Linked DNA regions of Nothobranchius furzeri. The protein of the gene in region 1 interacts with the protein of each later gene in a pairwise test. Links are inferred from orthologs where the notes say so. Each region holds a gene or a part of one and is shown in the gene's direction. Other genes may lie near its edges.

Evidence for each region.
Region 2: the proteins of thap1 (region 1) and bysl interact in binary tests that used the Homo sapiens proteins (3 or more experiments, as listed by UniProt). The two-hybrid records come from large-scale screens. The link is inferred for Nothobranchius furzeri from reciprocal best matches to the Homo sapiens genes THAP1 and BYSL.
Region 3: the proteins of thap1 (region 1) and zinc finger protein 385C interact in a two-hybrid assay, tested with the Homo sapiens proteins (3 studies listed by BioGRID). The two-hybrid records come from large-scale screens. The link is inferred for Nothobranchius furzeri from reciprocal best matches to the Homo sapiens genes THAP1 and ZNF385C.
Region 4: the proteins of thap1 (region 1) and acot7 interact in binary tests that used the Homo sapiens proteins (3 or more experiments, as listed by UniProt). The two-hybrid records come from large-scale screens. The link is inferred for Nothobranchius furzeri from reciprocal best matches to the Homo sapiens genes THAP1 and ACOT7.
Region 5: the proteins of thap1 (region 1) and mettl13 interact in binary tests that used the Homo sapiens proteins (3 or more experiments, as listed by UniProt). The two-hybrid records come from large-scale screens. The link is inferred for Nothobranchius furzeri from reciprocal best matches to the Homo sapiens genes THAP1 and METTL13.
Region 6: the proteins of thap1 (region 1) and akap17a interact in binary tests that used the Homo sapiens proteins (3 or more experiments, as listed by UniProt). The two-hybrid records come from large-scale screens. The link is inferred for Nothobranchius furzeri from reciprocal best matches to the Homo sapiens genes THAP1 and AKAP17A.
Region 7: the proteins of thap1 (region 1) and G patch domain-containing protein 2-like interact in binary tests that used the Homo sapiens proteins (3 or more experiments, as listed by UniProt). The two-hybrid records come from large-scale screens. The link is inferred for Nothobranchius furzeri from reciprocal best matches to the Homo sapiens genes THAP1 and GPATCH2L.

Annotation. Positions count from the first base shown.
Region 1 is NC_091746.1:71,097,146-71,101,752, reverse strand, and holds the start of thap1 (THAP domain-containing protein 1), read left to right. Parts: upstream 1-1,685; 5' UTR 1,686-1,800; coding exon 1,801-1,871; intron 1,872-3,613; exon of another isoform or gene 3,614-3,746; coding exon of another isoform or gene 3,747-3,748; intron 3,749-4,377; coding exon 4,378-4,570; intron 4,571-4,607. UniProt on the Homo sapiens protein: DNA-binding transcription regulator that regulates endothelial cell proliferation and G1/S cell-cycle progression.
Region 2 is NC_091743.1:46,638,214-46,642,582, reverse strand, and holds the end of bysl (bystin), read left to right. Parts: intron 1-2,712; coding exon 2,713-2,815; intron 2,816-2,898; coding exon 2,899-3,253; 3' UTR 3,254-3,542; downstream 3,543-4,369. UniProt on the Homo sapiens protein: Required for processing of 20S pre-rRNA precursor and biogenesis of 40S ribosomal subunits. May be required for trophinin-dependent regulation of cell adhesion during implantation of human embryos.
Region 3 is NC_091756.1:38,928,960-38,933,487, reverse strand, and holds the start of zinc finger protein 385C, read left to right. Parts: upstream 1-1,565; 5' UTR 1,566-1,755; coding exon 1,756-1,798; intron 1,799-4,528.
Region 4 is NC_091755.1:32,418,351-32,422,825, reverse strand, and holds the start of acot7 (cytosolic acyl coenzyme A thioester hydrolase), read left to right. Parts: upstream 1-1,668; 5' UTR 1,669-2,089; coding exon 2,090-2,268; intron 2,269-3,511; coding exon 3,512-3,629; intron 3,630-4,475. UniProt on the Homo sapiens protein: Catalyzes the hydrolysis of acyl-CoAs into free fatty acids and coenzyme A (CoASH), regulating their respective intracellular levels.
Region 5 is NC_091748.1:42,295,503-42,299,768, reverse strand, and holds the start of mettl13 (eEF1A lysine and N-terminal methyltransferase), read left to right. Parts: upstream 1-1,318; 5' UTR 1,319-1,400; coding exon 1,401-1,553; intron 1,554-1,724; coding exon 1,725-1,997; intron 1,998-2,080; coding exon 2,081-2,552; intron 2,553-2,626; coding exon 2,627-2,826; intron 2,827-2,940; coding exon 2,941-3,130; intron 3,131-4,266. Other genes in the region: itpa (inosine triphosphate pyrophosphatase), read right to left, coding at 1-13, 169-245, 314-426, 512-543, 627-700, 776-840, 917-974, 1,118-1,171. UniProt on the Homo sapiens protein: Dual methyltransferase that catalyzes methylation of elongation factor 1-alpha (EEF1A1 and EEF1A2) at two different positions, and is therefore involved in the regulation of mRNA translation.
Region 6 is NC_091754.1:16,992,464-16,996,299, reverse strand, and holds part of akap17a (A-kinase anchor protein 17A), read left to right. Parts: intron 1-2,370; coding exon 2,371-2,519; intron 2,520-3,836. UniProt on the Homo sapiens protein: Splice factor regulating alternative splice site selection for certain mRNA precursors. Mediates regulation of pre-mRNA splicing in a PKA-dependent manner.
Region 7 is NC_091758.1:32,657,322-32,661,157, forward strand, and holds part of G patch domain-containing protein 2-like, read left to right. Parts: intron 1-689; coding exon 690-751; intron 752-1,232; coding exon 1,233-1,391; intron 1,392-1,668; coding exon 1,669-1,748; intron 1,749-1,846; coding exon 1,847-1,911; intron 1,912-1,993; coding exon 1,994-2,033; intron 2,034-2,117; coding exon 2,118-2,209; intron 2,210-3,836.

The DNA of each region.
Region 1 (4,607 bases):
GAATATTTTTTTTACTTAAAAACTTATTTCATTGTTCAGATTTACTCTAAGTTTTATTAGATTTGAAACTTTCGTAATCCGGCGTGATTTAGGTGAACACTACAATAGTAATAATAGAGGAAAACACAATTCAGAATGGAGTATACGAGTAGGCAATAAAGAAAAAAGCAGAATTTGGGTAAAAATAAATAAATGCATTTGAAGCAGATTTATTGTCTTGTGTTTGGAGCAGAGATTAGATTATTTAATTAGAACGGGGCTAGCTCTGGTGTCCAGGGATGGTTGTGTCCTCTGCGCAGTAGTACCTGGTAGTGATGTGTCGGTCGCGAACGAACCGGCTCTAAGAGCCGACTCTTTGAAGTGAACGATGGGAGCCCTCCCCCTCCCCCCCTGCCTTGGTGAAAGCTGCAGGTGATTGGTCAACATGTGTAACTGCGTGTCCAGACTGTCCACACACAGAGCAGTAGGGGCGGAGAAGAGGGAGGATCAGACTCAGACACACAGCAGAGCACATGCGGGCGGAGGGAGGCGAGCGGGAATGAGGAGGAGGAAAAAGGCAGAGAGAGGAGAGTGCGACGAAGACGGTGAGAAAATTAGCGCCAGCAGTCGGAAAGTGGAGATTTCTTAAAGTGTTCAGTTATTAAATCCATAGAAATGATAAATATTTGATACACAGCATTTTTTTACATTAGTAAATCATTTTACAAATAGTTTTGCATTATTTTGGTTATAAATGTATTCTGCGCAAAAGAAAATCTGAGGAGCCACTTGGGAGCCGAAAGAGCCGGCTCTTTTTGGTGAGCTGAGCCATTCCCATCACTAGTACCAGGACCAGAGTGAATAGGGTGTGTGTGTGTGTGTGTGTGTGTGTGTGTGTGTGTGTAAGCATGAGGGATGCATGTACGTCAGGTGGGGTCTTGGACTCCTCTCCTCTGCTGAGACATCTTGAGGTGTTACGACATCTTCGCGTACCCTCCTGCCACTTGTTCTACCGGTGGGCGGTGCCTCGGTCTGCCTGCATATCTAAATGCACTATGAATTATTATGGTATGCTTCCCAGCATAAGCAGTTACTGTTATATATCCTCATGCTGTTGGAGCAGCGATGTTTTGTCTTGTTGTATTTTTGTGTGTCTCCTTTTCACGCTCTCTCTCTCTCTCTCTCTCTCTCTCTCTCTCTCTCTCTCTCTCTCTCTCTCTCTCTCTCTCTCCAGAAGCTGATTCTTCTTCATCATTTATTATTTATATAATTCATCCTCCCTCACCTCTTCCTTCACTCTCCCCCTTTCTCTCACAGCTGTCTCTGTGTCCGAAAGTGTTGCTAATAAAGTTTTGGTGTCAGCAGTGGCTACGGCAGAAGCTGTGAGCTCCACCTGAGAGAATAAAGCTGCAAGGCTCGTCTTCAGCAGTCAGACATCAGTTCTGGTTGCTTCACAGCCGGACAGGACACGGTAAAAAGACAACAAAAGGATATTTGTATGAAATCAAGTGATAGTTATTAAAAGCATTCAAAGAAAAGATGTTTTTTGTCCAACTGCTCTTCTGTGACTATTTTATTTTATCCTTTACTTATTTTATTTTTATTTTTTTTATCTGCAACGATTTATAATAAAAAAAATTCTAACAAGTTTCGCTTCACACACTAAAATGACAGTTACCAGGAAGAGAGGCCAATCAGGGGGCAGAACGCGGGTCAGGTGACCCTGTCTCCGCCGCCATGTTTGTTATTGGCAGTGAAGCCTGATCGGACTGACGGCAACGAGGTTTGGCGGAGGTTCGGTTCGTTTTCTGGGATGAAACAATGGTCCAGACGTGCTCAGCCTATGGCTGTAAGAACCGGTACCACAAAGACAAAGATGTCTCCTTCCACAAGTAAGTTCGGCTCCGGTGTTTCTGCGCCGACTCTCGTTAGCCCGCCCGAGCTTCGGTCCGGTCTCAGAAACAGCCTCGTTCAGTCACAGCAGTCTATTCATTCATGTTTTCGTGCTGAATGAAGCAGAAGTCCGAGCAGCGGCCTCACAGAGGAACCACCTGTTCAACAGGTGTCCAGGTGTTGTAGTCCCATTAGTCTGACATGTTGGAGCAAAACCAGAGCAGCTAGTGGTTAGGACCAGTTTATTCTACAAACACAGAAACACCTCCAGTTGTCCAGACTGGTGGAGCATAAAACCAGGTGTGGCGAGGCCTCAGGCTAGATGTGGAGGGGCATCAGAGCAGGTGTGGAGCAGCAGCAGCCAAGTGAGGAGGAGCATAAAACCAGGTGTGGAGAGAACTCAGGCCAGGTGTGGAGGAGCGTCGGCGCAGGTGTGTTTCACACTTCCTGGTGTTTAGATAAACATTCAGTACTTCAGTAAAGTTGCTGTAATTAATGCGGCGTCATCGGGTCACGTGGAGAAACTCAGGTTTTTATTAAAAGTCGTTTATTTTATCGCTGGAATCATTTTGGATTTTTTCACTAAAATCTTCATCATTCTGCTTTCTCACAGATCAGCTACAGAGGCTGGTTCTGGCTCGGGTTCTGGTTCCTCCAGAACTCATCAGTCACTTTGTCTGAGTTGACGTTTGTTCATTTTCATCACCACCACCGTGCTTTGCTCTGATGGAGTGAGAACATGTCCTCCTTCCGGTGGAGGTCATGACCTCCATGCTAATCATCTCTGGCTGTAGAGACGGTCTGGATTTGTCCTCAGAACCAGAACCAGACCAAAGCTCCGTCATCCTCTCCTGATCTAGAGCAGACTGGACTCACAGGATGGGTCCTTTTTAGTCCACTGGACCTGGTTTCTTTTCTCAGCCTCTGATGGTTTGGGTTCCTGACGGTTCTTGAAGACGTTTCGGATCTTCTCGTGTTTCTACCTGCAGCCGTCGGTTTTACTGAGCCCAGTTGTGTTTAGAAGTAGAAGTGATGAGGTAGTTCTGTTTCACCTGTCTTCAGTGTTGGGAGTAACGACGTTTAAATATAACGGCGTTGCTAACGGCGTTCTTTTTTAGGTAACGGAATAATTTAATTGATTACTTTTCCCACTGCTGCAACGCCGTTACCGTTACCACGTGCTTGTCGAACGTTGAGCAGCAGCGTGAGGCTTTCTGACCGCCACACTTCAGCTGCAGCCAGGGAGAGAGAGGTGTCGGTAACGCACTTACAAACACGATGGTGATTGGCCGGGTGGGCGGAGACCCTCACGGTCTCAGTCGCTGCATTCTGTAGACACAACAGAGCAGTGATGGGAATAACGCCGTTTAAAATAACCGCGTTAATAAAAAAAAAGTGTTCCTGTAACGAGCAAACTAATTAATTACCGTCTTCTTTTATCAAAACGTCATTTCTGTTACTGATAAGGAAATGCGTGCGTTAAGCAGCGCGGTGTGTTGAAGCTGTCATCAGCTGATCAGGAGCTAAAGAGGTAGATGTTTTCATCCAAGAGCATCACGGACCGTGAAGAACGAGGAAGACGTGATGAATGATTCGCTGCTGCAGTAGCGAATCTGTGGGTCTGCAGCCGTGCTCTTAGCGTGACAGCGGGACGTCCCGAAGGTCCGCTCACCTGTTCACCTCTCAGACGTCCTGATCTTCTACCTTCCTAGATCATCCAGCTGTAACCTGTTTCTGATCATGTCTTTAGTCCCGCTGTAACACTGATGCATCAGTCTCAGACGTCATGGAGCTCAGGTGTTATCAGAACTACCTGTGTGTGTTTACCACCCAGCTTCAGCTCTTCTGTGGTTGGGTCTGACCCAAGTTAGTAAATGTAAGTCCTCCATCAGGCTTGTGCCTCTTCTAGTGTCATTTTAAAGGATTTTATTTATTTATTTAACCGTTACTAGATTACCTGCAACAGAAATGCTACTAAAAACACACAATTATGTGAAGCTGGAAAAATTAAAATACCGTAGAAAATTACATTTATTTCTGTAATTTAACTAGACTGAGAGACCATTTAAAGGCTCGGGAACCTTTACAGGTGTTTCTATTTGCAATTTTAAATGTTAGCTGATTGGGTTTTTGTTAAATATCACACAGAGACCTTTTAATAGTCTAGATAAGTGTAATGTTCCTATTAGTAGTTCCTCCTGTTAAGTGCTTATTTATTTAAATTATTCAGGTTTTATTATGTTCCAGTCATTAGTCATTTATATTTCACTATTATAGTAATTCTTGCATTCTTTAATGAAAAAAGTAACTAAGTAGTTATTTTTCTTGGTAATTAGTTACTTTTATAATCTTGTAACTGAGTTACTTTTTTTGACAAAGTAATCAGTAACTATAACTAATTGCTTTTTAAAGTAACGTTCCCAACACTGCCTGTCTTCATCTGAATGACGTTCCTGTGAGGACTTCACTTCCCCAGCTGTTGTACCATTTGACGTGTTTTCCCAGGTTTCCTTTGGCCCGTCCAGATGTTTGTGGGAAATGGGTCGCTGCCATGAGGAGGAACAACTTCAAACCCACCAAGTACAGCAACATCTGCTCCCAGCATTTCACCAAAGACTGCTTCAAGAGGGAGTGCAACAACCGGGTTCTCAAGGAGAACGCCGTCCCGTCGCTGTTCACCTTTACCCTCAGCATGAAGGTCAGAGTCCCAGTGTGGTTCTGGTTCTGGATGTGAA
Region 2 (4,369 bases), on another chromosome or scaffold:
TATACTGAGGATGCTAATGGAGGATTAGCTGCTGTCTGTTGAAGGAGTGACACCATTTTTCTGGCTGGATAAAAGTGTTAATTAATAGGTCAAATTAAGCTTTATATGTGGAATCAGATGTTTAAAAACATTCTTTTGATTTCATTTGTTTGAAAACACAAATCCCTGCAGTTTGAAGGGAACATTCTCCTGTTCTCTACCCTTTTATTCTACCCTTTCTCAGTGGCCTAGTGGTAGAGTGTCCGCCCTGAGACTGGGAGATCAGGGGTTCGATTCCTGGTCGGGTCATACCAAAGACTTTGAAAAAATGGGACCCAATGCCTCCCTGCTTGACACTCAGCATTAAGGGGTTGGATTGGGGGGTTAAACCACCAAATAGTTCCAGAGTGCAGCTGTGTCTGCAGCTCCCCCAGGGGATGGGTCAAATGCGGAGAACAAATTTCGCACACACACCTGTGTGTGTGACATCTAATGGGACTTTAACTTTTAACTTTAACAATCCATGACCTGAATTCAAAATAACTTCAGTTTGAGCCTTAAACACTAGGTGGCAGTGTTGCTCTAAGATCCATCATACTGGGAACTAGTGATGGGTGTTTTTCCATCCACAGTTCAGACTAATAAATGGTGGTAGATGATAAACTAACTCCAGTTCTCACCCACTACAGCTTCCATCCTACTGACTGAAACATTTGACACAGATCTTAAAGGATAACTAGACATGCGTGTATGTTAAACACCTTTAATGAAGCTTGAGCCATAATTAATGTATTGTTTCAAACTCAAGCTCCAGCAGAAGGTTTGTTGTTTATTAAAATACCTGTAAGAGTTTTATCTGAAATCCTCTGACCTGTAGATCACTTTGACATTGAAATCAAAATGGTAAAGATCTCTTTAAGCTTCAGTAAATCAATCTTGGTCATATCAAAGCAAATTTAATGAAACTTTCACAATGTGATTTCTGTGTGTTCATCTAAACTAATGAAGCTGTAAACATCAGACTATAGAGATAAACCGATATGGTTTTTCTATTGCCGATACTGATGCTCATATGTAGAGGTCACGGTCAGTTATGGCTGATATGTGCTCCTGTTTTTTGGGTTGATTTTCATGGCCGATGTCTAGACGTTTTCTAACATATCTGCATCCTAAATTGTCACTAATAACATCTGTTGATGCTCAACATTTCTGAACCTGAATCAGTTTCTGCTGGTGGTGGTCATGGGGACAGGTCCCCAGGGCAGCTGTGGCTCCAATTAGCTCATCATCACCAGCGTGTGAATGGGGGGATGACTGACTGTGTTGTGAAGCGCCGTGGGGGGTTGTCGAACCCTAATAAGGAGCTATACAAATATAGATCATTAACTGTTTTTGAACTCTGATTTTAACCATTTGTTGAATCTTAATCTTGTACACTGATCAGTATTAGGATGAAACATTAAACCAGAGTCACACATCAATAAACTGACCAAGTATTACATATAACTGAGCATTTATCAAGCACTTGTTAGTCAGGAACGTAAAATTAGGGATGCATGATATGTCTGCGTCAGTATCGGTATGGCCGATGTTAGTCATCTGTTAACATATCACATTGGTCCAACGAATAAAACTGGGCCAATATCAACAACCGATTATTTTTCCAACATGATTCCATTTGTGCATCTGTTTCAGAGGGAGGAGGGGTGATTATCTGTAATTGTTTATTCATGTGACAGTGATGGTAATCATCTCAGAAGCGTAAATGTGTGTGGTGTGTATATAATATTGTAAACACACACACACACACACACACACACACACACACACACATATATATATATATATATATATATATATATATAATATCTAGTTTGCACTTTATAGAAAAAAACATTCAAAAATTCAGCTTGCATAATTTCACAATCAGTATCAGTATTTGCCATATTAGGGATATTAATATCGGTATCGGCCCTAAAATGTCATATTGGTGCATCCCTTGTAAGTATACATTTGAATAAAATTTGGCAGCATCGCCGGGCTGCCCACAGATGTGCCCGTTTTTAAATTGGCTCTATAAAAGTGGTATATATCAGCCCAATATAGCGGCCTGTCCCTACATCAGAGTTTGACATGGAGCACTAAGCAGTCTAATGGAATGTAGAAATAAGAGTAAATTCTAAAAAAAACACATTTAAATGAACAGGTAGGATAATTAACACATAATTTTAATGATGTATAAAATATATATAAGCTAAAAGTGAGCTTATTCTCCTTCCTTGTCTCCACTGATGTTTTTCCCTGAGGCTCTGTTTTGCGTTGTAACCTGTAGCAGGTGTGGCAGCCTCCCATCACTCCTCCTCCTTTAAAGTGTTTCAGGATCATGTTTTAAAAACACAGATATTGTTTCATCTCTGACGTATCCATTGCATTACGCTCTACAAACAGCTCTGATTACGGCCTCCACTGTTGTTGATGAGTGTCACGTATAATTGGCGACACTTTAGCTGCTACCTGATCTGCGCTACTTATGGTTGTGCAACTGCAAATTTAAAACAAACCGAGTTCCGTTGGTTGACATTTTTCAGGGATTTTCCCATTTCCTGTGACTCACAAAGACTCATTTACATTGTTTGGTTTGTAAACAAGTCATGTACCATTGTGATAATATGATATATGCTGCTCTAAACATCACTGAAGCGTGCGTTTAATACCTGATTCCTTATAACATAGGTATCCTGATTCCTTTATGTGAGTCTGGGACATGCACCTTGAGGGAAGCCATCATCATCGGGAGCATTCTCACAAAATGCTCCATTCCTGTGCTGCACTCCAGGTTGGACCTCCTCACACAAAAACACACATGTGTTAAATCAAGTCTGCTGTTACATAACTTGTGTGATCTGTCCTTTCTTTCAGCGCTGCAATGCTTAAGTTGGCAGAGATGGAGTACAACGGTGCCAACAGCATTTTCCTGCGTCTGCTGCTTGACAAAAAGTACGCCCTGCCTTTCCGTGTTCTAGATGCCTTGGTGGCCCACTTCCTGTCTTTCCGCAACGAAAAACGTGTTCTTCCTGTGCTGTGGCATCAGAGTCTGCTCACCCTGGCCCAGCGCTACAAGGCTGACCTGGCCTCAGAGCAGAAGGCAGCGCTGATGGAGCTGCTCAAGATACAAACACACCCGCAGATTTCTGCAGAAATTCGCAGGGAGCTACAAAACTCTGAGTCGAGAGACACTGAAATCGGGCTCCCTATAATGGTTGAAATGGACTGATTCAGTCTGATGTGGTGCACCATTCTCCACATTCATGTTCCCTCTTTACAAAACAGACTTTGCTGTTGTTCATATACAAGGAGGAATTTAAACTTGTTTATGGACCTCAGAGATGTTTTCTGTGTTCTGCCTTGACTTGTTTTCACAAGTGAGACTCTCACCAGTGGTGATGTAGCTGCAGTTTCACAACGGTAACACAAGTCTCTGAGCCTGGGAACACAAACTCCTTTCGGATTAAAGTCGTAATTCTGAAACCTGTCAGAATAAAAACCAAATTATACCTCATAAATTGGTTGTTGATTTTAATTTATAGTTAACATTCGCTAACCAGAAACATGGAGTATGTGAAAAGGCCTCTCTGAGAAAGGTAACTCAGTATTTAATTTATTAGGAGCACTATAGCAAAGATTAAATGCGGAATTGAGAGGCACATTTCTAGGTATGAACATGGAGCAAAAATGATTTTCTAGATGTTTTTTCTGGAGCAAAGGGTACGTGCTAAAATTTGCAGAGTTAGAAATGAAAGTTGCACAAACAAAATGTGTCATTACAGAGCTGGTTGTAAAAATTCCAGTTAAAGATGGCAGATGGGCGTCAGTGGGAACAAATTATTACTGAAGTTATGATTCAGCCTTTTTGATTATAATTCGATTATTATATCTAATTTTCTTTGAAAATGTGAAAAAGTTATTGGAGAAAATGTTATATGATAAAAATGAACATAAATACAACTTAAATCAACATATTTGCCAAATTATAAATTTTCAAAACTACAGATGGGAACGTGTTGTGCATTTAAAGAAGAAAAAGTATAAAGTTAATCCTTAAAACACGTTTTTACAGAAACAAACTTTTCTATTATGTTTTGTTGACTTGTTTTAAAGTGCAAAACTAAATGACTGATTACTCTGAACATAACTGCTTTTTGCCTCCTTCCACTTGATGCTGAAATCTTAGTGTAGTCTTTAGCCTTTTATGTAAATTAAGAGGGTTGAAAGGGGGGAAAATAACATTAAGTCATTAAAATTACGTTATTTAACCAACTTAAACTTACACCACCGCTCCTGAAAGTGCTATTTTTACGTTTGGCCAGTTGCTTAGGTAACGGGTCAATTA
Region 3 (4,528 bases), on another chromosome or scaffold:
CCGGCCTCCAAGAGCCTGTCGTCGCCTCCTCCTCTACCCCTCCTCCCGCCCTGCTCCTCGTTCCTGTGGGCGTCTGGGATCCGCCCCTTGAGGGGGGGGTACTGTCACACCCGGTCATGTCTCCCCGTTTAGTTCAGCCTTGTGTCTCGTTGATTACTCCCACCTGCCTCTCGTTTCCCAATCACCTTAGCTCCCAACCCTCCTGTATTTAAACCCTGTCTGTTCTTTGTACTGTGTCAGATCATTGTTTCATTGTCCAGCGTGCTTAATAAATCCTGGTTGACCGTTCCTACCTGCTGCCTGTTTACTCCCCGGTCTGGATCCACGCCTTTCCTCCGCTCCACTCCGCAGCGCGCTGACAGTATTGGCATCTCCATAAAGCTTTTCAGCAGATGGAAGCATGTAGTGCTCCAAAATCTCCTGATAGCTAGCTGCATTGACCCTGCCCTTGATAAAAAACAGTGGACCAACACCAGCAGCTGACATGGCACCCTAGACCATGACTGACTGTGGGTACTTGACACTGGACTTCAGACATTTTGGCACATTCCCTCTGCCCAGTCTTCCTCCAGACTCTGGCACCTTGATTTCCGAATGACATGCAAAATTTGCTTTAATCCGAAAAAAGTACTTTGGACCACTGAGCAACAGTCCAGAGCTGCTTCTCTGTAGCCCAGGTCAGGCGCTTCTGCTGCTGTTTCTGGTTCAAAAATGGCTTGACCTGGGGAATGCGGCACCCGTAGCCCATTTCCTGCACACGCCTACACGGTGGCTCTGGATGTTTCTACTCCAGACTCAGGCCACTGCTTGTGCAGGTTCCCCAAGGTCTTGAATCGGTCCTTCTCCACAATCTTCCTCAGGGTCTGGTCACCTCTTCTCGTTGTGCAGCGTTTTCTGCCACACTTTTTCCTTCCCACAGACTTCCCACTGAGGTGCCTTGATACAGCACTCTGGGAACAGCCTGTTCTTTCAGAAATTTCTTTCTGTGTCTTCTTCTTGCTTGAGGGTGTCAATGATGGCCTTCTGGACAGCAGTCAGGTCGGCAGTCTTATTCATGATTGCAGTTTTGAGTAATGAACCAGGCTGGAAGTTTTTAAAAGCCTCAGGAATCTTTTGCAGGTGTTTAGAGTTAATTAGTTGATTCAGATGATTAGATTAATTGCTCGTTTAGATAACCTTTTCATTATATGCTAATTTTTTGAGATAGGAATTTTGGGTTTTCATGAGCTGTATGCCGAAATCATCAATATTAGAAACAATAAAAGGCTTGACCTACTTCAATTGTGTGTAATTAATCTAATATATATGAAAGTCTAATGTTTATCAGTACATTACAGAAAATAATGAACGTTATAATGAACTGTATCACAAAATGCTAATTTTTGGAGAAGGACCTGTATACACACACACACACGTGTGTTATCATTATTTCTTTTGTTTAACGCTTTGTGATCCCTTTCCACGTGTTTTACTTCTAAATGTTGAATGTACCGCCTACATTCCTCATCCCGAAAGCGGCTCCCCTCCTTAGCGCCTCTTTTTTCCTGTTTTCAAACAGACTGATTACAGTCGTCAATTCATCCTTTCTTCCTCTCTCATCCGCGCGCGCACTGGTCCGGTATCTTCTCGCGCAGGCAGTGGCGCAGCGCGCGCGCACGTTAACCCGTGCGGTTTATCTTCCTTCACTTTGACTGGCTCGCGGGACTGAAGCGCTTCCAGCCGCTGAGCACGCGCTGTAATCTGTGACAGCTGGAAATGGACAGCGACAACAGAGGAGCTTTGCAGCCGTCTGACTCAGGTAGGAAAACCATTTTCCTCTCTGCTTGTGTCCAACCTGCTTTTTGTCTCATGTGGCTAATAATGTGTCCGAGACTATATTTTTTTTAAATAAAACTGCCTCCAAATAACATTTTGTTCTGAATTTCACTTTCTGTCATTTAATGTAAACTGAACTCGTTATTTCAGGATGACCTCTTTCTGAAATATCCCTTAATTTCCCTTTTCTACTTTAAGATGAAAATAAAGTTCTCCATGTTTATTTTTAGCACCAATTGACTGGGTTATTCATAAATAGGTGCAATTCGAGTAAGCAATCGGTTTAGTGTTTTAAAAATAATGTGAAATGAAAACAGCGGTAGTTTGCCATTTTATCTTTTACTTTTCACGAGGTTGGTTGATTTTACTTTGTTATTGCTCTTTCTTTTTTATTTAAGAAGAGTGTAACCCAAACGGAAATTGGCCTAAATTCATTATGAGTTGCTTTATCCAAATTGATCTTCTCTTTCCAGATTAAAGAAAGTAAATTATTTTAAACACAATTGTAAGCCTATTCACATTTCAGGTGTTTTGATGTATTTCATTCTTTTTATGCACAACAAAACCTCACATTACTTCATGTGAATGAAGGAGAGAAAGAAATCAAAAATTTTAGAAGCATTAGCTAAATGAAAGTTCTTTATTGTCCCCACAAGGGAATAAAAATGCACTCACTGAGATGTAGTCGTTTTTCCAAATCAGTATATCCATTTATTGCATAATGTGAGTTATCGTAAACAAATGTTGTTATACAATTATCTGGCTAATTGTGTGAATGTTTTGGTTTCATCTATAATTTTGGCATGTTTAGCATTTTTAAGTGTGTGCCAATTTTTCTAAAATAATATTTTTAAATTAGATGAATTGTAACTGCACAAATAAACTTGGCAAGGAAATTTTATTTATATAGCATATTTCATACACAGAAGGAATTCAGTGTGCATGAATTCAAGCTCAATAAGTGAAAATACTGATAATAAAGGTCAGTCAAACTAATGTTTTTTTTAAATTCCATACAATATAATTTTATATAATGATAGTTGTAAATATAATAATACTATAATAATAATAATAATAATAATAATAATAATAATAATAATAATGATGATGATGATGTTCGAGACAGATTAATTTTGTCATCGTAGGTTTTTTGGTGCAAATTTCAGTGTAATGGAAAATCCTAAGCAAAAGAAAAAGATGAATCCTCATTGTGTGTGTGTGTGTGTGTGTGTGTGTGTGTGTGTGTGTGTGTGTGTGTGTGTGTGTGTGTGTGTGTGTGTGTGTGTGTGTGTGTGTGTGTGTGTGTACTGCTGGATTCTACCAGAGCAGACATACTTAAACACCCCACACTGGCCACATCATTACCTTCTGCATCCTCTTTAAATGACCTTGCTCTCCTCCGTCCCTCTTTGCGGCTGCTTCAAACCTAAATGGCTCCAAATGACGGTCCCCCGCCTGCCAAGAGCTAGCGACAATCTGTTCTTTCCAACTGCTCTGAAGCAATCATTTTGCTGCAAACAAAAGGTCCTTGATTCATCAAATCCCTCATCTCCTATACGGCCCACTCTCCAGAGGGATGCAGTAATTTTCACTAGCACTCCTTGTGTGTTTTATTTGGGAGTTTCCTTTATTTTTGTTGCATGTGTGAATCTTTTGGACTCCTTAGGTTTACGTTCTGCTGGGTCAGATTTACACTCCTACTGATATCCTCACTACACCTCATGTTGAGCATACAGGCAGGATTTAAAATGACACATTGCAGGATCACAGGATTAACAAAGCAAACAATAATTTTTAGAAGCTGTGCCAAACTGAGCATCTTCGGACAGTGTCAGTGACTGAGAGGTCTGCTCTCTCTTGGCTTTTAAGAAGGGAAAGCAAACTGAGGTGCAACATCTCGCAGTGCTTTGTTGGAAAAACAAACAGTGTAGAAAAAAATTTGAGTAAGCTGGTGTGCAAGAGTAAACGGTACTGGAATACAAAACACAAAACAAATCTGTGCTTCTGCGTTAAAAGTGGATTGGTGTGGTTCTTTTTGAAAATTAGAACATTTCTGGTGAATGTCGACGTGTCCTGAGGCAGAATGCTCAACCTCCCCCATTATCCCTGAAATGGCGGTTGTGATTTGGTGTTCCCTCAAATGTGAGGTTATAGGATGAAAAATTGTGTTAGTGGATAAATGTGATGATCAAAAGAGAATATTTAGTGGTTGCATTTGTAATAATGTCCAATTTTTAGAAATTTTAAGCAAATAGTAATATTTTTATAATTTATCTGACTATATTTTATTGTTTTGATTTTTTAGTTAAAAAAATCCATTCAGAAACATCCAGACATTTTATTTTGCAAACACAGCATTCAGACTAGACAGATCGATCAAGTAGAAAATAAGCTCTAATTGATATCTTCACACATTTAAAACGTACATGTGCTGTAACGCTTTTATTTGATGCATTTCTTATCATAACTATACCTATGAATTTTATTGTGAGCTATATTGATAAAGTTTAACAATTTTAAATCCCATAATTCACACTCATAAGCAGCTTAAGTCTGCCACCTACTGACTTAAATCAGGATCTGCAGTCTCCTTAAAATGTGAACTCCACATAATGCTTTTCAATTCAACGAGTAATCACATAAAATAACCAAAACAATCATGATTATCATTTCTTTTCCTGATAAACTAAGCAGCTTTATGTTGATATCTGGC
Region 4 (4,475 bases), on another chromosome or scaffold:
GAAATCTCTTACAGTTTTCTAGCTTTACTAAATTATCTGTTTGTACTTATTTGATTAATGGCAGATTTACTTTTTATTAGACTCCAAATGTAATAATTTGGCACGTTCCTAATTCATAATTTGTAAGAATGTAATTGGCATTGAGCTAACCACTCGCTGCCAGTCAAATCACAGCCTTTGCGATTAGAAAACCTCCCTTTGTCACATCGCAATTTAATTGCATATGCAATTAATCGTTCAGCCCTAGAAACAGCATGTGAATGAATTTATCTAAAGTTAAAAAGAGTTGCTGAGACAACTACTTTAATGTTGTCACTGAGATAAAAACTCAGCTATCAGTGTATTTTTTGGAATTTTTTTTATACGTTGAAACTTATTAGAAACTATTGTATCTAAAACAACTATAACCAAATTGCTGGTGTTATATTCTAATTTCACACCAGAATTTGAAACAATTTAAAGCGTGTTTGCAATGTTTTCTTACAAATGTGCCTCTAACAGAGTAGCTGGCCTCAGCTTGCCCCTTTATAATATTAGAGCCTCATCTGTGGTGCTACTTCTGTGCTAACCCCAGAGCAGTTAACTTTAAGGTGGCAAATTAACAATAACAACAACACAAAAATGACACGATGAACCTTGCAGAGAAAGTATAGTTTTAGCCATTTAGCAGTGATTAGGAAAATGCAAAGACCCCAGTCTGTTTTGATAAGCAGAATACATTTTCTTATAAAATAAAGGCAGATTGAATTTTTCAGTAGTGAAGTGGATGGAATCACTTGTTGGTATAAAAATAACCACAATGTTAATTAATTATGAGCTAAACATAAGAAGAAACTAATGAAACTATGACAAAAATTGTTTTCGTGTACCTACATTTTACATTTATGTCCATTGCAGTACAATTATGTATAATTTATTTATTTGATTAAATAAATTACAAAATACGTCAACTATTTAAATTTTTTATATTAGAGGACTTTTCTATTTTTCTGACTACTTACTAATATATTAAAGTATTGCGACTTTTACTGGAGTACAAGCCTTGGGCTCCTCTACCTTCCTCTGGCACTGGTGCGTATCTCCCAAACAGACGTCTCTGCAGTGTATATGCTTTTGTCACTCCTCTTCCCAAAAGCCAAAAACACAAAACTAAATGATGTGTGAGTCTCTTTCTAACTTTTAGGCACCTCTTGTTGATTCCATTATCACTGGTAATTACCATTAACACTACTGGAATTGGTGGTGACCCAACCAGCCCTTCCATGTTGGGCAAAGCCCAATGAAATCCAGCCCCTTCCCTTTGGCTTTAAAATATTTTGATTAGAAATTTGCATTTAAATTAAAATAATTCACGTACAGCCTCAGGAAAAGTCTGATGTGGTAAAACAACAACAACAACAACAAAACAAAAGAAAATCAACACAGTCAAATTTGTGTAATATCCATATGTATGTGTTTCTGTATGTTTATGGCATCATTGGCATATCATAACAAACCACATGATGTACCATGAAATAATAATAGTATTAAACAAAAACAACCACCTTGAAGCAGCACCATCTGCTCCTTTGTAACGAAAAACAAAAACCCAACTTTTATGTAGTTTTGCTCCCAGTATGTCGATCCTGGAACAACAATAAAGAGGTAGAAAGGATATTTCTCTCAGCTGGCGTGCTTATTATCAGTATCCTGGCTATCTGTCAAAATAATTCACTCATCAAGGGTATTTTGCTGCAAATTGTTCCAACACAAGATAAAAATGTAACCATTTTAACAAGTTTTTGCTAGTCAAATTATGGCCAATAGTCCTTAGCCCTTATGCTACTGTATACGTCAATGCCTGTTGTATTTCCTGCTCTTCCTGTCTGACACACACCTCCATGTGCTGATAAGAGACCTTACTGGTTCATACCTACCTGAGAAGAATATAGATAAGAGACCTTACTGGTTCATACCTACCTGAGAAGAATATACAGAGTTCCGGTTTATCCAGTAATGACTCTCAAGGTGGTTCCAGCATTCAAAACGTGTGACATCACCTACAGTGGCGTCGTCAGAAGTGCTGAACTTACAGTGTAGGAGTGTGTTGATGCAAAAGGCGAGAGTCAGCTTGGGTGTGAACTTGCATTGCTCTGAGATGCTTAGCAGCAAGGAAGCTGATAAAATGGATGAAACAGCTGCAGTGATGAGGAAACAGCAGTCGGGTCAAAGCCAGCCAATCAGCAGGGATGTCTGTAGAGGAGGGGGCGACAAATTACAACTCTGCAGGTAATTCATTCCTACTCCGTGATCAGAACAGTTCCCTTCTCTAATCATTAAATATCAAGATCTCATACGTTTGTGAATGGGCTGTCTTGTTGAACACACACACACACACACCTCCGACTGCTCCCTCAAACTGGATATTGTCTCTATTGCAAGATCAGATTTAACTGTTTTGCTGTTGTGTTCATGAAATAACTTCTCCTTTTCATCGTTGTAAATCCGTGTTTTTTCAGCGTTGGTATCTGTGATGGAACCCTAACCCTATTCTGTGTTGTTTCTCTTACCTGAACAACATTTTACTGGAACTGATCAACACTTCATGTTTATAATAAACAAACTATAAAGTTCTATGGGAAATGTGTTGGGATTACTAGTAACGTCAAGGTGTGGATTTTTGTCCCATCTGATGTCTGATTCAGGGATTAGTCAGATCCAAGACTAATGGCGGAGACTTATGTGGCTTAACTTTTACTTGTTTGTGACTTCAGAAGATTAGATAGGAACCTGTTGGTCTGGATTGATGCGCTCAGTGAGGAACTGGATTCAGATGGTGCTTATGACACCTCCTGCTAGAGATTATGTTCCAGATGACCAATTAAGGATTTATTCCAGCCTGTTCTTTGAGCTGAGTGGCTATGGTAAAGAAAACAATCCCATCAACTTTTTTTTGATAATTTTGCATTATATATGTTTTTATTGTAAGGTAATTTTATATTATGTGATATTTTATTAGTTTATTTTTTTTTATCTCAAATTTTAACCCCAATTGTGTATTCACTGTTCGGGTATATTCCTGTTGAATTTCATAAGTTGTTCTATTAAATTTCAGCAAAATTCATAACCAGTTTATTATAATTAGTGGGTCACAGGAAATCTTTTAAAGCAGAAATCTTGAGTTTTTTTTTGTCTGAATGCACCGCCTAGAGGTGAAAAAATGTATTATGCCATAAGCCCCACCCCCTTCAAACAAACTTATGGATGACTTGTCCATAAGAAATGTTGCAAACTTTGCACACTCTGTGATTGTATGTAAGCGAGTATCTAACGCTATTGGCTAATGCAGAGCGACGCCTAATTAAAATTACTCTAGCCTCTGTGGGACGGGGGACTTTGCAAAAAAATAAGAAACTTTTACGGATTTCTAAAAAAATCGTACATAATTCCTGAAGTGACCGAAAATTCTGTGTAGCTGCTTTAATATAAAGTTAGGCAGAAACACGCCAACATTTTTCTCTTTCTGATCCAGGGTGATGAGACCGGACGATGCGAATATTATGGGCAACGTTCACGGTGGCATCATCCTCAAGATGATTGAGGAAGCTGGAGCCATCGTTGGCACGCGGCACTGCAACACACTCAATGGAGTAAGTGTCATATCTTGCGTCATCTGTCACATGGTGAACTTTATTTTACTGTTGCTTTTATCGTCTCATCTGCTGTGGCATTTTTTTCATATTCTGGATGTTGTCTGTGAAGGTTCTCAGTCATCCAGGTCATTGTAGTCTAAGAAGCTTTGAAAGAAAAGCGTCTGGACTTCTTTGAGTTGCTTGAAGACGTTTCACCTCTCATCCAAGAGGCTTCTTCAGTTCTAAGGTCAAACGTTGGAGAGTCCCAGATTCAAACCCAGTGAGAGTTTCCACCCGAAGAGGGAACAAAAGACCCCCTGATGATCTTCTACACATGACTACACATGAGCCAAGGTGTAAGGGTGGGTGTGGGTCCTATTCAGCCAGAGTTTCGGGTGAGATCATTGTGAAACCTGGCCCCACCCTATCATGTGAATTCCTGAGGTCAGATGGCCCATGATATGCGTGGGCGTTGAGGCATCTGGGAAGGGATCTCAAAACTGAATTGTAGATGGCAGACAGTTGGTGTCGTAAATCACCGCCTCTGTTCAAAAATGGTTGCTCACAGTGGACATAAATGGCTTCCTTTACTCCTGTTTCAAACCATCTGTCCTCTCTGTCCAAAATGCGAACATTGGCATCCTCGAAAGAGTGACCTTTGTCCTTTCGATGCAAATGAACTGCTGAGTCCTGTCCCGTGGAGGTGGCTCTTCTATGTTGTGCCATGCGCTTATGAAGTGGCTGTTTGGTTTCTCCAATGTAGAGGTCTGGGCATTCCTCGCTGCACTGTACAGCATACACCACATTGTTCAGTTTGTGTTTAGGAGTTTTGTCTTTCGGGTGAACCAGTTTCTGTCTGAGTGT
Region 5 (4,266 bases), on another chromosome or scaffold:
AAGTTCAGCGTAACTGGAGATTAAAAAAGAAGAAGAAAAGAATGAAAAAGAAATGCTGTAATTTGAACAAATGTACGGTAGAATCACCGCCATGGTGCTTCACAGATTAAGCTCTGAGAAAGTGTGTTATCATCTGGCTCCCTCTAGTGGTTAAGTAAGTGTGCCTACGTTTTCTCAAATCCATTTGGCTGGAAACAAGGGTCCCATCCAAAGTCTTTTGGCCCCCTTGGTTCCACAATTTGTCCCTGGAACAACACAATGAATATGTAAGCAGGAAATACACAAACCAGAACATGAAAAGAGTCATTCTGACCTCTGTTTTCCCTCTGAACAGCTGCACAGGTTCATCTTTACCAGCACAGAACGCAAAGGTGCAGAGAGCCCACGCTGACTTGTCTTCAAACCCAGCTAGAAGTTTGTACAAACCTAAAACACAACGTCAGACCCCAAAACAAGATTTTTAAAAACTTTTTGTTATACATCAAGATGTACATTTTATTTAATCACTTACCCTCTGGTTTGAGTTTATCAAGAAACCATTTGCTACAAACATAAACATGTTTACAACTCGTTATCCCAATCTGAGCGCATTAGCAGTTTAATACTTTATTATAAACTGTACCCACATGTAAGGACCAGGTAGTCCTCCCAAAGCCCTAAAACACAGGCAGGTGTCCTCTACTATGACTGGTCCATCAATCTTAAGGACAAAAACAAAGTTTTACTTCACAGAGCATCTGGTTCTTGAAGAACATTCCAAATTAAAATACTGTACCTGCTGCGCAGCTTCCTTACACTTCTGAATAGAAATCTCATCTGGCTCTCCCTGGTACTCGGGTACTTAGGAGAAAAAAGAGAAGACACTTTAGTTACAATAAACTTACATTTTAGATGTGGTGTCACACTGAGTACTTACAATCGATCTTTTCTGAGACTAGTTTGTAGGGAAACTTGTTTCCGAGTATTTGAACAACCTAAAACACATACGAACCAGAACAAAATGGAACAGTTCCCCTTTCAGAAATATCAAGCAGAACCCGGAATGACGTAATAAGTTCTATATTGGGGTAGCCACGAAACAAAGCAGGAAAATGAAAAACAGGATAAAAATTCTTACTTCTTCGAGTTTTTTTGCATTTCCAGTCACAAATACCACAGTTCTACCAGCCATGATGAAAATCACCCGGAAAACTAACACAACCGGACCTTGCAGCTTTGCAGTAACCAATAAAATCCGCTCTTAGTGTCTAAGCGAATCAGCGAGCAGTATATGACTCCGCCTACAAAGGTTAACCAATCACCCGTAGGCACTAGTAAGAACCGTGTCCGGGTAGAAACGTGAGCTCGGTGCCATGTGGAGTGAAAACCGTGCTGGAGAGTAGAAACCAAAACACGTAAAAATGAGTCTTTTACCCCGAACCGCCGAGGAGTTTAGCTCAGCTGAATACTGGGAGAAATTCTTTAAAAAGCGCGGAGAAAAGGCTTTTGAGTGGTATGGAGACTACAACAAACTGTGCGGCGTCTTGCACAAATACATCAAAGTGACGGATAAGGTGATGTGTGACATAGCATAAAACAATTCAGTGCAGCGTTTCTAGACTTAAATTAACTGAACAGTAATCATTATTCTTTATATTATTACAGCATTTTGTTTATATGTCAGTGCGCTAATTTCTTGTCATGAAATGTGATTTTATTTTTATTGTCTTTTGTTGCATGTTTAGGTGCTGGTGGTTGGTTGCGGTAACTCTGAGCTGAGCGAACAGCTGTATGACGTGGGCTACAAACATCTGATGAATATAGACATAAGTGAGACAGTGGTGACACATATGAGCCAGAGGAATGCAGAGCGAAGGCCTGGCCTGCTTTTCCATCAGGTGGATGCTACTCAGACTCCATATGAGGATGTCAGCTACCAGGCTGCTCTGGACAAGGGCACCCTGGATGCTATGGCGTCACAAGAGGAAGGAGTGTTGGCTGGGAAAATGCTCACTGAGGTGAGAAATCATCTCATGTGATAAACAGCGAATCACTATTACGGACGCTAGTGTGTTTCTTACTGTACTTTTTGATTTTGCAGGTAAGCCGTGTTCTCTGTGTTGGAGGGAGGTACATCTGTGTGACGCTGGCCCAGGAGAGCGTGATTAGGTTAGCTGTGGAGCACTTTGTTCAGCTTGGATGGGCGGTGAGACTCCACTGCCTGCAGGAGGAAAGAGGTGCTGAAGAGGAAGACTCCTTTGCTCTGCCCATTTTCGTCCTAGTCTGCACTAAATTCCGTCAGCCAATGCCTATGCCCATTCTTGAGATGTGTATTGGGGATGATGGTGCCCCTGTCCGGCACACACAAGTTAATGAACTGTTATCGTCTGTGAGAGAGTATCAGGCTTATTCTGTTTTGAGGAAGCGGCTCCGCACAAGCACTGATCCTGGCTCAAATCTCTCACTAACTCTCTGCCACGTCAAAACAGGACTGCCCAGATACACTCTTACAGTGCAAGACTGTCCACCTGGAGCCAAGGTGCCACGATCCAACCAGTTTGCTATATTTATTGGTGAGCTTCCATTTTGTTTGTTGCAATAGTTGTATTTTTTCCTCTTACCTTATTCTTTCCGTTTGTTTTGCCAGTTCCACAAGGGAGTGAGACAGCTTGGCTCTATAGCTCTGTTGAGGGCAGGAAGCAGCTGGCAGCCAGTGCAAACTTCCGGCGCCTGGTTATTGTTTTGATGCACAGAAATCAGGAGTACACAGACATGCAAGCTGTCCAGTCAGAGCTCTCACCTGTGGTCATGGACCTGGCTCCACCGTGTATGCCAACCAACCAGCAGGTAAACACATTTAGGCCGATAACATTTATTTTAGAACTACTTTTCAAAAGATTAAAATGTGCAATAACACCAAGCACATCAGGATATTAATTTGAGTGACCTTTTCTTGTTTAGGTGCCGTTTCTGTCAGTGGGGGGTGACCTCGGTTGGCGAGAGGATGTGAGCAGAGGTGTGAGTCGGCTCAGTGGCGAGTATTGTGTGGAGAATGTCAGAGGAGAAGATGGAGAACTTTATCGTCGACTTGTGTTCCTGTCAAATGTTGCCCTCGTTCAGTCGGAGAGCCGACTCGTCTCATCTAACACGGGTTTGTTTTTCAATCCAGTTCAATTCAAAGATACTTTATTAATCCCAGAGGGAAGTTTTTGTCATTTTTTTGTCATTCTTTCCTGTGTCTTTCCTTGCAATGTTGTAAAAAAATTTTTTTTATAAATTAACAGCAAAAATATCATAAAATGTAAAGCACACATATGAATGTTAATTGTTACTTATTTCAAGGGTTGTTCAGTATTATTGGTCTACCAGTAATATTGGCCGATATTGGCAATAAAATTTAATATCAAAAAACATTTGTATCGGTTTTCAGTCATTTAAAGAGCAAGTCACCCCTACCCAATTCTTACTCCACTCCCACTTCCTGTTTGAAAAATGCAACAAAGGCTGTAGCCTAGCAGACCGAGAGGGCAGAGCTGCTAACAAATACACACACACACAACATTGTGACATCATAATGTACCATCTAACATCATAGTGTACCTTTTAGCCAATAGCGATGGCAGATTTAAATTCAAATGCAGTGCAGTTTTTACCTGACGATAGTGCAACACTGACAGTTATAGGCAAAATATTTAAACCTGAACTAAGATGCACTAAAGTGTCGAATTATTGACTGTACATGTCTACAGCATGATCAGACTCATTTATTTAGTTTATGAGCAAAAAAAAGTTGATTTGGAGTGACTTGCTCTTTAATTACCCAACCTTTACATACCATACACATATTGTACATCAAACTCTTCAGCTACTTCTCCCTCTCAAAATGCAAAAATAAGACAGTTTTTGAGATATTTTAGATATTTGGCACATCTTGTGAAGCAGATATTTGCCCTGTGTGAAGCATGTAGCTATGTGTAGCTAGACAGCTAACAAACCACAAAAGTAAGAATCTTCACCAAAGACCGGCCTTTCTATCTGAAGATGTTTATAAATGTTTTATCACAGTAAATGCAATATACAGAAATAAAAAATACTTTACTAATAAACACAACTTAGCATCACACTAAAGGAGAACGAGATTCAGCTGCTGTTGGAGACAAATAAATATGGCATTTTTCCTATTACTGACTTAAATTGAAGTAGTCTTTTTGCACAGAAAATGTTTAAAATTTAAGTAATAATGATTGGAGAAATGTAATGTTAGTAACCTAATTTTTTTTCTCTCTT
Region 6 (3,836 bases), on another chromosome or scaffold:
GGTTTCCTCCGGGTACTCCGGTTTCCCCCACAGATCACAACATGCCCTATAGGTTATAAATTTGGATAAAAGCGTCTGCCAAATAAATAAACATAAACCACGAAGTGGTTCCCTGGTGTCTGCAGCTCATCGCTCCCCCTGGGGATGGTTCAAATCTGGAGGAAAAACATCACCGGTGTGTGATGACTAATGGGACTTTAACTTTACTAGATAAAATAGTTAACTGAGAATACAACAATTATTTATTTACTGGAGGAGAACATCACGTGGGCCCATATGAAGATTAAACTGTCTAAGTCACGCAGCATCTCGGTGGTGAAGGGAGAGCACACTGACTCGCAGTTCGTCACCGGTGATGACCCGATTCCTACTGTATCTGAGCAGCCAGTCAAAAGTCTCATAAGGTACTACGATGGAAGCCTGAAAGATAAACAACAGGTGAAGCAACTGTGCAGTGACATCAATGCAGGCCTACAGGCAATTGTTAAAATCCAACTACCTGGGAAACTCAAGTCCTGGTGCTTCCATTTTGGCCTTCTACCCCCAGTGCTGTGGCCCTTGGCACTCTATGAGGTGCCCGTCACAACAGTAGAGAAGCTGGAGAGAAGAGTCACAGCATACATCAAGAAATGGCTGGGAGTTCCACGTTGCCTCACCACCACTAGCCTCTACGGAGATCGTGTCCTCAAGCTGCCACTTACCGGCCTTACGGAAGAGTTCAAGTGTGCCAGAGCACGGTTGCAGATGACCTTGAACGATACCACAGATCCGGTGATCAGAGAAAACGTACCAAACCTGGTTACCGGGCGCAAATGGAGACCAGCAATAGCAGTAGAGGAGGCAACGGCAGCTCTTAGACATGCTGACATTGTGGGGAACGTTAACCTTGGAAGGGGAGGCCTTGGACTAAAAGCTAGCCGCCCAGCCTGGAGAACTGCTACTGCTCCAGCATGGAGGAAGATGGTGGTGGATGATGAGGTGCGACGTCGGGAGGAATCTGCAAGGTGGGCCAAGGCAGACGCCCTTGGCAAACAGGGACTGTGGACAGTTGTGCTGGAGGGATGTATGGGCCATGGAAGCTAGGAACTTGAGCTTTTCCATCAGAGCCACGTATGATGTCCTACCAACACCAACTAATCTCCACCAGTGGTTTGGTGAAGATCGTGGGTGCGTCCTGTGCTCCAAGCCAGCCTCCCTCCGGCACATACTCTGGAGGTCTTCCAGTGGAGGTCGGGTGCAGAGGGTTTGTGGGAACATCTACCACAAAACTATTAAGGGGACCTAGGAATCATGGGCCAGAAACGGCGCAGAGCCATCAAAGCTACATAAGAGGCAGCAGAAAGAAGCAGCCAGTGGCTCTGGCTGAAGAGGAATGACCCCATTTGGGCCCCCAAGTAGTGTGCCAGGTTGCACACTTTAATGTCTAATTGGACTTGGGACGCAAGCTGAGGTCTGATCAACCTACAGCTGGCCGCCTCTGAGTAGGGTGTATAGTATTTAAAGGCCGAAACACCGCATGATCCAGAGGAACGCTACTGAGGATGCGTCCCAGAACTTTCTTCCTGCAATTCTACCGTCCACCGTTAAGTAGAGCAAGCACTCGTATTTTCTTGCACAAGGAAGTACCATCTGATCCTGTGTTTTCTGGAGTCCGAATTTACATCTTCTAAATACATTCCCTCCTGTACACATATTGGTTTATCTTAAATATAAAACACTATGTTATGTTTTTTTTAACAATCATTAAATGTAACAGATTATAGGACAAACTAGGAATCCTCACTTCTAACGGACAAAACTGTGAGAGGACTGAAGGAGAACGATTCCACCTCCTAATCTGCAGCTAACAAGTCAACAATGAAACCATCCATCATACTGGGTTTGATTAAAGCACGTGAAAATGTAATAAACGCAACTCTGTTACAGACTAATCCAGTTTATCTGTGAGGAATTTCTTCAAACTGAGCCCACAGGATGTTTACTAAAAACATACAAATGATTAAGTATGTAAACAAACAATCCGTTTTAGGGCACAGCAGCGACCTTGTTGCCTGTGTTAGGTGAGTTGGGATTGCTGCAGCGGTATAACAGCTAAGTGGAGTTTAATCACAAAGTAGCTTTAAGAGCTTTTAGGGAAATGAGAACCGAAGCAGCAGAAATAAAACCTTCTGAGTTACTTAAATGATCAAAGATTCAAATAATTAAAAATAAAAACAGTTTGGTATTTCTGGTCCTGTAACACGTTATCATCTTCCTTCATGCTTTTTGACTTATTGTTTTTTTTTTGCTAAGAAAAAGAGTAAAACAAATCTTTAAATGACCAGAAAAAAAAGCATAAAAATCACTAATCACATTTTTTTTTTAAATCAGGTGACCTTTGACACCAGCAAACATCTTAGTGATGCAGCCATAAAGAGAAGGAGCCTAGAGAGGCAGAAACTGCAGGAGCTGGAACGGCAGCGAGAGGAGCAGAAACGACGGGAGAAAGAAGAGGAGGAGAGACGAAAGGAGGAGGAGAGGTACGATAGAAATACGATAAATACGAGTTCCAGATAACTCCAAACCAGGGGTTTACTTTTTAATGTTGGTGGGGAAGAGCTGCGTCTGTTTCGGCAATGCTCTCCGTCATCGCACATCCATGTAGGGCTGCTCAATTAACGGAATTATAATCCCAATTACGATCTGAGTTTTGAACAGTTTATACAAATAAAACAAGCCGATTATTTGCTCCTCCCTCTTGCGCTGCTCTGGGTTACAAATCAAGCGCTCCTCAAAACAGAGTTGCCAACTTAGCGACTTTGTCGCTATTTCCAACAGACTGATATTTTCAAACCCCCTTCTTGACTGTTTAAATCTAAGGCCCTGTCCACACGTAGCCGGGGATCTGCCTAAACGTAGATATTTTTCTACGTTTTGGCCTGTCATCCACACGAAAACGGAGTTTTTTCACACGAAAACTGATCTTTTTAAAAACTCCGGCCAAAGTGAAGATCTGCGTTTTCTCCGTTTTGGGTGTCTGCGTGTGGACAGACAAAACCGGAGTTTTAAGGTCCGCAACGTCACTTTCCGCGACAAAAAAATGCTGACATCACGTGTGCGACCTGTGTTTACACTAGCCAACAGCATGGATGCCCTCAGAGCTGCGCTCGCTTTATCATTTGTCCAAGCGCTTTTTGCTTGTTTGTTTTTGCAAGCGGAATTACTGCTCCTTGCGGAAGACCACAGACGAAGGACGAGGTTAAGAACGGGGGAAGTACTGCCGCCTACAGGTCTGGCATGTCCTTAACAACGTATTTATCCGGGTACGTGTGGACAGAGTTTTTAAAACGAAGTGGTGTGGATGCAAGTTTTTGGAGGGGCGGATATTCGTTTAAAAAAACCCCCGGCTACGTGTGGACTAGGCCTAAGAAGTACCTAGCCAACACCCCAGAAACATTTCTGGTAACCCTTAGCTACTTTCTGGATAACTGTCGTCGACATGTCCTGCGGGTTAGAAAAACACTCCGCCTGCGCACTGGACCATCCTTCAGGACATTAGGAAATGGAATGATGTAGTGATGCGTCGGTCGCTAAAGAAACGGCTCTCAGAGCCGGCTCCTTCTTGGATTAACCGGAGTGAGTGACACTCTGTGCCTGCAGGCTCCCGAGCTGCTAAAAACGGCAAAATGTGCGCGTGCGGCACCCTAAATACACGTGCAGCTTGCCCCTGATTGCTGCGAGACGGGGTTGGGGAGTGGGGGGTTACAGCGCACCTCCGGTTGCTGTGGTTGGGACAATTATTACATTAACTGATGGGACCTGTAAATAAATAGTTTATAAATGAGGTAGAAATAAGT
Region 7 (3,836 bases), on another chromosome or scaffold:
AAACTACCTCTGTGGCCTCAAAATCATATACATATCTGAAACTTTGAACACTTGTTTATGCATCTGTCTTTAACCCTGTAGAGGTGTGACAAATACAGGGTGAGGGTTTACCGAGGCAGCGGATGGAGTGTAACTGGGGTTTGCCTGAGGGTGTGGAGGGGACCGGCAGCAGAACAGTCGGGACGGTAAGCAGTGGCAGCCCCCGCAGCAGATGTCAGCCAGTTGTTGTGTGCAAGCGGCAGCTCATCTGTGTGAGGGGCACACCCAGAGGGAGGGGCAGACACGAGACTGTGTTCCTCTTCGCTGTCATCCTCCACAACGCAGACCAGATTAGATTGAAGCTGACAGCGGAGGATATTCAATTAGATTGTTGATGTCACTCAGTGACTTCGATCAGAGTCGCTCTCGATGCCTTTGTGTTTACCATCCCAGCAAGAGAGAACACACCACGCTCCGTCTTTTTGTGTCATTTCCACTCACGTCGACCTCCAGTTCCAGTCATCAGTTTTACTAGCGAATGCTACATGTCGATCACTGATGTGACCAGAGCATGTAAATGTTCCATTCACATTGTTCACTTCTCAGATGCTCTAACATCAGCCGACCTCTACTCTCAGATGACAAATCTAAACCAAGATCTTGGCTCTTGTATGTCAGAAGATTGGGAGACGTTTCTGTTTTCTTTGCAGGGAAACCAGCAGCACCTGCAGCAGCGACCCCGGTCTGTTCACAAACGACGAAGGAAGACAAGGTATCACAAAGCTTGGACTTTGATTGGATTCGTGACTGTTTGCAGCTGTCAGGTGGACATCACCCATCTCCACTCAGAGTGGGAATGCTGGGCCTACAGAGGGAGGTTCTGCTACAGCGGGCCAGTTGCTGGGCGCCCAGGCGACTCTAATAAGACGTTGTCATGTCGTGTTAATGAGCGCTGAAGCCTTTGCTAATCTCATTAGCCGTGGTGGGGCCGGGCGGCCTCTGATTTAACAGTTGTCACTACACCTTGACTGTGAGAGGCATGGTTCCTGTGTGCACCATGCTGAGTGACAGGTCTGAGAGGATCTCACTGCCTCTGGGGGGAAACCGATGTTATCTGGTGAGGAGCTTCAGACATTTCTGACTCCCACACAAAAGGATCAGACTGGAAAACATTGAGAAAAATCTGAAACAGCATTGATTAAACAAGGTGAATCTTGTGATTAATACACATTTGTGCTTTTACGTTTCCTCAGGCGATGATGAGCAGAGCGACTGGTTCTTCGAGGGGGACTGTGGAGTCGGGAAGGCGGTGGCAGGACTCCTGCCCAACTGGGACTCGGACAGCTCACTTTCTTTAGAGAGTCGACGCACCTCCACCAACTTCCTGCAGCCTGCACGGCAATCTGTCAGAGGTGCCTCTGTCCCTTTATGTGAAAATAGTAGTAGGTCTTGAGACTGTGTTACATTTTTCTGGTGAAAACAGAACAGATTTGACTAAATTTTGGAATTAAGAAGTTAAATAAAATAATAGTTTTTTTTTTAAATCGTCACAGTTCCGTTAAACAGCTTTGATTGAGGTTAATGATTGTTATTATTTTATTTATCACTAACTGTTCCTGTTCTGTTACACTAGTTATTCCCTTTTCTGATCCTTTGCTTGCACGGAACAATGAGGTTTGTGTTTTGCAGGGTATCACTCACGTCTGAATCGCCTGCCTTGCTCTGCTGCCTGCTGCTTCAGGAAGGACAGGAGACGACTTCCCAGGAAGGTTTAAGAACGCCTGCATTTCCTTCTTCACTGCTATGAATGCTTAAAACCGTTGCAGCATTTGTTTAGCATTTCTAATCGTGTGTCTGCGTCCAACAGAGCCACAACATGCCAGCGTTTGTGGAAAGACTGAGGCACTTCTCCCAAGATCGTTCCCAGAGAAAGTGAGATACACTCGTGTTAGAAAGCACATTTATGTCCCACTACTAAGTCTATTTGTCTCAAAATGTGGCCTTCTCCTTGTAGCTTCTGGCTGCCTCCTGTTGGAAAACCTGACAGGAACCAAGTAAGCTTTTACCACGTGTTTTATTTCACTTAAACTTCATTTTGATTTCTAAGATCTGTATTTTATTGATACTTTTACTTCTAGCTGAACCCTTTGTGCCCATTGCCAGTGTGTCCTATTGATGTGGCGTCAGAGAGCTCCCCTCTCAGGTGTTCGTCCTCGCTCTACAGAAACAGGTAACACCGTTTAGTAGTCAAACACAGGAGATGGTTGGAGTATGACCAAAGGCATGCTGCATCAAGGTGTGCAAAAAGCTCTAGTTCTGAGTTCACTTACTAGTTTTCAAGGTCAGTCTCCACAGAAATAAAAATATAATGTTGACTTACTGTTGATTTAAATTTTCTGGGACCGAACAGAAACAGTAGAAAAATCCAAACGGTCTTTCATCAAAGCATCACTTTGCTTCTGGTCATCCCCAGAACGGCTGGGTCTACACGGGGGGAACTTTTGAGGAACCGAGCAGCCCTCTTGGCCTCGAGTATGTGGGACTCCTCGTTGTGTTGTTACCACTCTGCCTATTTATGGTGCATGCTTAATTTTTGTTTCACACACACAGACACAATGTGCGCCTTCTCCCTTCCTCTCTCTTGGGTTATTTCACAGAGTGCTCCAGCTCTCCTTGATGAGGGGCAAAAACACGACTGCTATGAAAAGCCCCCCGACTTCTTAGGGCTTTCTTTTCTAAACTGGCCCTTTCTTCTCCACCTGAAAGGTTCCTTCAGATTCCAGTTTAAGGCACTGTGAATACTAATTTCTTCTATTAAAAAGCCCTCATATCCCTGCCATGCTCTCATTTGAATGACAGACTCGGGGGAGATCTCTTAATTCCTTTATAGTGCGATTCAAGACCCTTCACTTCAAAAAGTAGAAATCATACTCCCAAATGAATGAGGGAGAAAGGGGGGTGGGGGGCTCTGACGAGAGGAACTTCTGATGTTTTCTGTTGGACGGCACGAGCTGAATCTTCTTTCCTGAGCCGGTGATTTGGCCGCCTCGTTCTCATGACCTGGCTCTGCTCTCTTGGTACCAATCTGGGTCTTCTGAGTTCATCCAAAACACGAACAAAAAATCATTAAAGGGGCATTATGGAAGTTTGACAGCCAAAACATGCATAGAAATAATAAATTTCTTCTTCATACATTCTCCTGCAATGCCCTGGTCCTGTAGAATGAGCCCTGGCATTTTTACTGTGATTGCCTGTTTTTCTGTAAAATCACAGAAAAAGAGAGCTGCTCGGGTCGAGCAGGCTGCTTCACGCGCGTTCACGCTCAGGCATAGCCCGTAGCATTTGCTATTCGTAGATTCAGCAGCAGAGTGAGGTAGTGCCAACTCAGCGACTTTGTCGCTGTTCCTAACGCCTAGTGATGAACCTAGCTACATTTCTGAGGACCCTTAGCTACTTTCTCTAGATATTTGCTGCAAATTAGCAACAAAATAGCCATTTTAGCTTAGAACCGTTCTTTGAACGTTGTTTTAGCTGTAATCAAGGATATAAATGTTACAGATACCCAAAACTTCAGTGGTGGTTTAGCTCATCTAGTTTGACGTCAGACTCGTGCAGGAGACCCGGGTACGATTCTGGGTGAGAACACAGTTTATTTAGAGTTTCTTTTTTACATTAATGATAATTTTTTTACAGTAAGATGCCCAAATTTTTATTTGAGACTCGCTGAACGGCATTGAATTCATAGATAAAAAAAGATGTGGGTTCAACTTTCAGTTTGGAACAATTTTTCAAGCAAGGGAAGGGAATGATCTGAGCATGCAGGAGGACTGACCCATCTTAAACCTTTGTCAGCTGTG